Linked DNA regions of Nothobranchius furzeri. The protein of the gene in region 1 interacts with the protein of each later gene in a pairwise test. Links are inferred from orthologs where the notes say so. Each region holds a gene or a part of one and is shown on either strand. Other genes may lie near its edges.

What was found.
Region 2: the proteins of rabac1 (region 1) and dusp12 interact in binary tests that used the Homo sapiens proteins (3 or more experiments, as listed by UniProt). The two-hybrid records come from large-scale screens. The link is inferred for Nothobranchius furzeri from reciprocal best matches to the Homo sapiens genes RABAC1 and DUSP12.

What each region holds. Positions count from the first base shown.
Region 1 is NC_091745.1:74,795,127-74,799,671, forward strand, and holds rabac1 (prenylated Rab acceptor protein 1), read right to left. Parts: upstream 2,944-4,545; 5' UTR 2,809-2,943; intron 1,818-2,808; 5' UTR 1,804-1,817; coding exon 1,682-1,803; intron 1,605-1,681; coding exon 1,392-1,604; intron 1,249-1,391; coding exon 1,151-1,248; intron 944-1,150; coding exon 842-943; intron 723-841; coding exon 634-722; 3' UTR 87-633; downstream 1-86. UniProt on the Homo sapiens protein: General Rab protein regulator required for vesicle formation from the Golgi complex. May control vesicle docking and fusion by mediating the action of Rab GTPases to the SNARE complexes.
Region 2 is NC_091751.1:58,772,251-58,776,785, forward strand, and holds the start of dusp12 (dual specificity protein phosphatase 12), read right to left. Parts: upstream 2,890-4,535; 5' UTR 2,826-2,889; exon of another isoform or gene 2,750-2,825; 5' UTR 2,657-2,749; intron 1-2,656. UniProt on the Homo sapiens protein: Dual specificity phosphatase; can dephosphorylate both phosphotyrosine and phosphoserine or phosphothreonine residues. Can dephosphorylate glucokinase (in vitro).

The sequences.
Region 1 (4,545 bases):
CCGAGGGCCACCGAGTCCGACGCAGCGACTGCCCCGTGCGTGCACATGTACACGCCAACTCTTACGAGAATAAAACTAAAGACAAGTAACAGTAACAGAATTTATTGCACTTCCAACGTTTCAGCACAGAACGCATAATTTACAAATGAATTTCTAAAATGTGCTTTTCGTGACCTTTCCCACCAGAATGTCTGAACCAGAGCTGATCAAATAAATAAAAAGAGAAGCCACATAATGTTCAAAACTAATTAAAAAACTAAATGGCACTTGACCTTCGGACATGCGTCGATACCAGCAGTTTGGATGGTGCCGTCAGAATTTACTTTGCAGGATGCCCACAGCTAGGAATTCAGCGCAGATGCTCCGCTAAAGAGCAAGAGGCTTCATGGCACAAACCAGAGGCATCGCAGGCTTAATATATGCAGATAAAGGCGAATAATGTGCTTCAAGCAATAAGAAATTCATTATTTATGCATTTGTGTAACAACAGTTATTTATCATGCAACATAAGGTGCATTCGTAATACAATGCCATAAGGTAAACATGAGGAAGAAGGATATATGTATAGATATAAAAAAATCTTCAAGGAGATTCTCAAAGGGTCAAAACGAGGACTGATCATGGAGCAGCTCTTTAGACCGGCTCCATGAGGAGCTCATCCAGGTCCGACGCCTCCAACTCTCGGAACGCAGCATGAGAGCCGATCACAAACAGAGTTGCTCCTGACAGGAAACCACACAGAACAGGAAAAATGGATGTAAAAAGAAACGATTTTAGTTCTTAATCAAGATGAAACATCAGAAAAAGATTACGAGGAAAGAACAAATCATGTTCAGCTTACCGAGAACCCAAAACACAGCGGCTCCGGCTCCTGCCAACCAGAAAACGGGCAGAGAAACGGCTCCAGCCAGACTCATCTGGTGTGGGACTGTCAGTTCTCTGCCTGATAAACAAGAAATATGAAGAAAAATATTAAAAATAGGGTTTGTGGTGCTAAATGCAGCGTGGGTTAAATCCAGAACAGGCATGGATGACATATTTAAAAGGTTTCACACAGAATAAAAAAAAATAGACCTTGAATGTTAAAAAAAAAAAAAAACTAAATCTGGTAAATTTGAAAAGATTATGGATTTGTAGGAAATGTACTCACCGAGAACAACCAGTTTGGACTCCAGAGACTTAAGGTGGATGGCGTAGAAGGCACCAGCATACACGGCTAAGGCAATCAGCAGCATGGGCGAGCTGATACTGAGGAGCAGGAAAAATGAACAGGGCTGTCAGGCTGGAGCTATTTAAAGCAGACTGTCGACATTTTTCTAGAAGCCAGAGTCTCACAGATGATCTAATTAACATTTTTTGTTTTAATGAAGCTCTCTTTGATTAGGTCTTACATGCAGTAGAGGATGAGCCCCAGAAATATGAAGGTATAGTTGCTGTTGTAAACTTCCACATTTTTAACCACCCTCTGACACAACTCTCCAAAGTTGCGAGGTTTTGAAAATTTGCGCTGGTCTACAAAGCTGGCCCACGGTCGGATGGACAACCTGCGCCTGTCGAACCACTCCTTAGCCATGCTGGCCGAGATGCCTTTAGGAAGCCAGAGCCTATAAAAATAAACAAAATAGAATATCATCAACACACCAAAGCCAGGGTAAAAATATGAAAGCATGGTGGTTCACACCTTGAGAGGACTCCGATGCCCCCTGTGCCGGTTGGATGGGCCTCATCTGGGATGAACAAATCTCCAGCTTTGCTGTCCATGTCCACCATGACGTTCTCCCCTTTAGGCACTCCAGATAACATTTAGAGACTGTTGACTGAAACAGAATCACATTGAATGTGGACTAAACTTTTACAAAAACAATTAGCCTGGATTTACTCATTTTTATTTGATGCAACGGTGTAGCATCTTATTTAGACTTTGGTTGCGTTTCCACTCATTTTCTGGTAGATGTATTATTATTATTATTTTTTGCCTATGAAGCCCCTTATTTCTAGTCTATAAATCCTTCAGGCATAAAACATTTCTGAAACTGGTGTAGTGTAGTGTAGTGGACATTTAAATCCTATTTTTTAAATTAGAATCGATGACAAAATACCAAAGATTAAACAATTTGAGAAATTAAAAAAAGGTACTTTAGCACACACACACACACACACACACACACACACACACACACACACACACACACACACACACACAAAACGGATTCCAAAAGATATATTGACTGAAAACTTGACATATGGTCGTTTCTATAACTGCACCATTTTCATTGACCTTCAGATCTACTGTAGACACATGTTTTAACCCCAACACTTCTTATTTTATCTTTCATATTCCTCGTGTTCCCAGTAAACCTCCCTGGTTCTTAAGCTGTTTTGAAAGCAATAATCGCAAATGTCAATGGAGCTAACTTTTGATTTTTCGTATTTTAAAACGCCACATTTGACACGTCATAATCTAAAACGGTCTCAAGTGTATAAACAATCACTGTCTAATGATTACATGTCTTTCTAGTTTAATGGCGATCCTTAGTTAGAGAAACAGGAAGAAGTAGAAACAGGGCCCGGCCAGTGCCACATCACTAAATAAACAGGATAACCGAGAAACTCTCGTTACCAAACAACAGTGTCTAGAAGTAGCAATTTCAAATATAAATATTATACTCACGACGAGTCTATTTAAAACCTGAATGTAAATGTAAAATGCTAGCTTATGAGCTAATGTTTACGTCTACTTCCGGATTTTATTTAACGTCAACGTAATTTTCACTTGTTTTTAAAATAAGAATTTAAATTACAACATACCTGCCAAAATGCTAAACCCTTAAATCATTCACCAAAATGTAGGCAGAAGTTTCACCAGACAGCCTGAGCTGTCTTTTGTTGCTGTTCTGGATCTCGGAAGTGATGTGGCTGCTGGAGAAGAAGAAAAAACTTCCTACTTCGCTGACTCTAGGCAGGGCCACCTACTGGCTACATAGAGTACTTCGAATTTTGTGTTACACAACACAGGTGGAACTTTTCATTTGTATTACTTTTTATTTTATTTATTTATTTTTTTGCATTATTTTTACTTCATCCAAAAAACGGAGTTTTTTCTCTTAACAGCCGAAAACACATCTGTTGAAAAAGCCGACCTGAGATCGGCTGCCTGTTTTCTGCGGTGGCTGCTCAAAACCACACAAGCACGAAAAACTGACTGCAGATCAGAAATGGTAAAAACGTGACCTTACGTCATGTAACAAACAAAGAGGCTGTGATTGGTAGATAGACGAGTGTTGTGGTGCTGCCGTCACTGGGCACGCGGCACTGTGGAAGTTGCTAGATCCGCCAGCGAAAGAAAGGAAACAAACATTAGAAGGTGAGGCGCTATTAATTATCTTATCAAATTTAGCTGTTGGAATGTTTTTACGTGTTGTTAAATGTAATCTTCAGACCTTGGGGTTTATGACAGTTCTGTTTTTGTTAGTCATTAATAAAGTAACGTTTCAATGCTAAAACAAAATGTACGCGTTTTTTTTTACAAATGCACTAAAGGGGGACACAGCGCCATAGCAGCATATTAGCCTACGCTGGCTCCGTTAGCTTTAGCTTATTCGGCTCTTTAGCTTACTCAGCTCAACAGCTGTCCTGGCTGGGTGTTTAATGACCGTTTTTTTCTCCACAGAAACCGTGACAGGATACATAAACTCGTATAAAGCGTAAAACCGTAACACAAGAGGAACGAGTCGTTTCAGGAGCCTCCAGCTGCTTTCATACACATTTTGCCTGAAGATAAAAACGACACCGCTGACTGGTTCGTGTGTGTGGAGAGCGTCAAGCTGAAACGGTAAAAGGCAGGAATGTTCAGCTCCACACACACTGAGCTCACGTACATTAACATTTTATATCCTGACTCCCGAGGAAAATACATTTCTATGTCATATTTTTTCAAAATCTCACATATATATTATAACTTAGTCGACTATAAGTATAAATAATGTCAGAAAATATGGTGTAAATAGTTGCATTTTCCCCAAAAAAGCTAATTATATTTTATATTTTTGTTTAATTTCCAATAACAATCAGTATTAATAGATTATTTAAAAAAATGCTCAACAAAATAGGGTAAATAACAGCAAATAAACCAAACTGGAGAACGTTTATTCAAACAATTGATAATTGTGTTAAAATATTGCTAAATTACTAAATTAGGTTAACATCCCCCAAAACTTCCTAACTTCCTAATATCTCCCAAAATAGCTTGAAAATGAGTTTTCTTCTTTTCTTTTTTTTTTTTTTTTTTGACAAAAGTTGCTTTTAAGAACCTCGTTTTCCTTAAATAGTAAGTGGAAGTCCTTCAAGCCCTTTCTCTAAAGATTTATGAGTTGTATCTGGAGTATGCATGAGGTCGGAGATTTTTCCAAAAGACAGGAAAAAGAATGCACAATTCTACAATTCAAGTTTGTGCCAAATAAAGTTATTTTAGTTTTCTTGTTGAAAACTACAATATGCTGTTTCAATTAGAAAAATAAAATAGTTTTAAACTTGCATGAAGTACTG
Region 2 (4,535 bases), on another chromosome or scaffold:
AAATCTTTTTCTTAATGTTTCGGCAGCAGGATTGATATTATGTATTATTTTGAACTGAATTTCTTTCAACTTGGGTGCAATTGGCCATTCAAGATAGCTGCAATATGGCTTTATTAATGTAGTTTCCTTTCCTGTGATTTTTATTTTCTTTGATTTGTCAATATCATAGAATAACTATTTTTAACATACCGTAAATCCTCTAATACAGGCCCGGGCCTGTATTTGACTCAAGCTCATCAAGCTCCAGGCCTTTATTGGAAGGAGGGCCAGAATTAGAGGCAGGCCTCTATTTCTACTTGAGCAAAATGAACTAATGGTTCGCTGGAGTTTTTGACAGTTAAAATTGCGCCCACATTTTCAAAGTTAAACACATTTCTTTTAACAACGGTAGTTTCTGCTTCAGCCATCCCCCCCCTCCCCTTGCGCAGCGGCCGCAAACTCACTGATGCGCCTGCAGCCTCTTGGAGTTCCTGCTGCTCTAAACATTAAAATAATTATTTCATTTTCTGTTCCTCACTTCTGATTACCTTCAATGGTGTCTGTTTGTTGCAACCACCAGGTACAAAAATTAACTTGTTTTTATTTGACCACTTTTCTGTCCTGTCTGTTTATTATCTTCCTGCATCTCCTCTCAATCCTAAAGAAAAACTGCTACCTGGGTTCATATATATTCACCCTATGAGTTACCTTTGAACTGCAAGTCTAAAAGATCTACCGACCGCAAAAACAGCGGAGTGCTCGCTGCTTGGTGGCCGCATCAGTGATCGGTGCATCACCGGATGACAAGGTAATGCGCCCCGCTCCACAGTGAAACACATCAGACACAAATAAAAGACAGAAAACATTAAAGGAAATGAACCAACATGAACGATCGCGTGTCAAATTAGTTTTTGAGGTGGCGACACCTGATTTGATAATGTTACTGTGGCCGTGCTCAGGACGCAGATCTACCAACCGCAAAAACAGCGGAGTGCTCGCTGCTTGGTGGCCGCATCAGTGATCGGTGCGTCACCGGATGACAAGGTGATGCGCCCCGCTCCACAGCGAAGCGTATCAGGCGCAAATAAAAGACATGTCAGTGTCGCGTGTCAGTACCGACGCTCTGGCACAGCGCGTTGCCCCCCCCCCCCCCCCCCCTGAGCGCAGGAGCTTGTCACCTGCTGACAGCAGGCTGCTGTCTTTTCCAAGGGCTGCATCTTGCCGGTCATTATCACGTGACAGCGACTAGTCGATGACAGGCATAAAAAGTCACTATAGTGAAGTTGACTATTGCTCCCCAGTGTTCTGCAGCGCACGTTCTCTTTGAACTTGATATTGTAATGACCTGGCTGGGGTTGTAAGCCAGGTGCATTCTGGGTATTGTGTTATATGTGTTTCCTATCATTCTGCTAGTTCCTATGTGTTGATTTGCGTGTTGTGTGAGTGTTATGCTAATGTAAGCCACAGGGAAGGTGATGTGTGTTCTGTGGAGCGGGTTGAATTAGCATGGTTAACTGACACCGTGACTCTTGTGTGGTAGGAGCGTGATAAGAGGATTGGTGTCTGTAGCGTTACAAACTGTTGAAGAAAAATCCCAATAAAGGTCTGTGTGAACCTCTGCTTCCTCCTGCTGGTTGATCTGGGGACTATAAACCTGCCGCTGAGACGCTCGGGGTCGCTACAATATCAAATTTTCGCCTCCTCGTCATCTCTGCACGGTTAAAGTTACCCTCGCGGTCTATCACTGGCAAATCAAAAGTGAGACGATGACACAACCGCCCCCCGTACTTGCTTGTTACCACATTCCACCCGGCCACAATAAGAGACCGGCCATTATTCACCTCCGCCGACTTCGACACCGGCCAAAATATGAGACCCGGCCGTTCATTGAATACAGGCCTGTATTAGAGGATTTACGGCACTTCCAAGTACTTTGTTATTACATTTTTGTTCACCTAATTTAAATTTGCCAATTTTCAACTCAGGAAGTTTAATCACCACATTTGAATTAAGCAAGGTATTTTTCCAATTGGTCGGGTTCTCTCGAGGGATCATGGGAAACGTAGTAACACCATATTTCGACAGAAATTCTATTAAATAGCAGTTTTTAATCAATGAAGTCTTATTTATTTGACAGTTTATCAATAAATGACGTACTTGATGGTTTTTCCTCAATTAATTTATGTCAGATATAATTATTTAAGCACATTTTAATGGAATGATATTTTATATAAAAACAGAATTCTCCTAAACCTTGGTTACATATAGCACAGTATCAGTTATTTTTCACTACTGTTGGCCAAAAAAATAAGAGCGTTTGTTAAGGGTTTTAACATTTGTGTAGATACGCTATGAGCACACATAAACATTTATTCAAGAAAAACATTATTGAAAAACACAAAAGTATACATTTCACTTCCTAAAACCACTCAAATTATTTCAGGGCAAAAAAATAAAATTTGCAGGCTGGGTGCTTCATCATAACCTTATTAATCTAACTAACATTCATTCAGTCATGACAACTTGCCAAAATGTCGACCTTCATTTGAAATATTGCTGAAACACTTATAATTACAAGTGTACCTTTAATTTATTATTAGGGTTTGCTAGATTGTTTTAAAAACTTAATTAATCTTTAATAATTCAAAAAAAAAAAGAAAAAACTGACTGAACTCACCCAGTTTTCACAATGTGTCAAGAACCCACGAAGTCACGCAGTCACGCGGCCAGTTAGCTAACCTCGTTCTTCCAGCTTCAGCTGTTTACAGTTCTTAATAATAAAAAAAAGCATCAACAATTACTGTTCAGCGCAGTAAAATACTAAAAAAAATACAAGATCGACGTACAACTGCGGTCCTGTGGTTTTTGGTTCGTCTTTAAAATGGTGTCGTACGGAAACATGGTTAGATTCTTCTGTTCCAGCCTTGAAAAACATAACAAAAAATCTCCTTTAGTTACGTTTAAAAACTTTTCATTTCTGAAAATATTTAAAGATTTCAATCCATAAATAATTGAACTCGTTTAGATTCTTGAACCCAGCTAGTTGCATAACATTTTTTCTTTATCTCAGTATTAAATATTTATAAGAAATATGATGCCTTATGATGATTACTAGTTGAGAAGATGAAATGACTAAAAAAACGAGTAAATAGGATTTTATATATCTGCCAATCAGGAAATCAGAAAAAAAATTAATTTCACACAGCAACATATTAAACTAACAAATTTTTAAGACTGCTTGATTTCACGATGCTTTTGATTTTATTTCTATCTGTTTGTATCCTTTCACGTGGCATTTGATTGCTTTATGAGGTATTGTTCACATTTTAAAAATTGTACAGGGCTTTGATCAATGAAAGTTGTTTTAAACATGTTAATAAAATAAGTGATTGAAACCTGATTGGAAGATTCCATCATGCTAAAACGTAAAATCTTAAAAACAGGAACAAGTTACAGATGCCACAATATGCTTATTCAATTATGCTGAAGGTTACATTTAACCAAAAATATTCAATATAAACAAAAAGAAGTCATTCTCACCACATTAGAAATATAAAACCATGAAAGTCTCTATAAAGTTATAATAATGAAATAAAGAAAACAAGAGAGGAAATAGAGTAAAATACCAAAGACGTGAGGTAATGTGAGTCTGTAGTCCACACTGACCACACACAGTAAAGCTGAATAAAGTAAATGATGATCTTGTTTTCTCTCATGAACAGTCTGACTTTGTCGGCTGCATTAAAAGAGCAACAATTAAAGCAACAGTTGAAAGAATCTCTGTTCGTCTTTCTGTCATGTTTGTAGTTTCCAGACTCTCTTTAAACACATCATGTCTGTCTGGTGTGTGTGTGTGTGTGTGTGTGTGTGTGTGTGTGTGTGTGTGTGTGTGTGTGTGTGTGTGTGTGTGTGTGTGTGTGTGTGTGTGTGTGTGTGTGTGTGTGTGTGTGTGTGTGTGTGTGTGGCGTTCTGAATGGCCCGCCAGTGTTTCGGCCCACTGTCTGGTCACTGTGTGGGGTTCTAATAAAGCTTTATGAGTTTCTTTAATCTAACCATCTGACCAGTACAACACCCTGCTGGGACTACTCCCCTCTCATTAGAGGGCTGCTGAACAAACATAATTGACTGTTAGAAAATAGGCAAATATAAACAACACAGAGTTCCAGCAGGTGAATGGGGACATAACTGGGTGTGTTGGTGTGTGTTTGTTCAGTTGTTCTACCAGATGGTCTGTAAGACTTTCAGCAAACCATTTTCAGGCTGTTAGACGACGGGTTTATGTAACTGGGATGCTGTCTGTTGGGTTGTGGTTACATTACGACATTTGTTTACCACTCAAACAGCTCAGTGACCTGCTGAGTACCACAGTATGGATTTTACTCAAAGTGTACACACCAGTAGCAGATCTGCTGGCCGCAGCTGTCAAAGGTTAAATATTTTTCAAGTAAAATTTTCTTCCATCCGTAGAAGTCATTAGATCAAAAAAGGAAATAAACAAATAAATTACAAAATACACAGGATACTCAAAATATAAATGTTGGTGATTTACCTTAGTG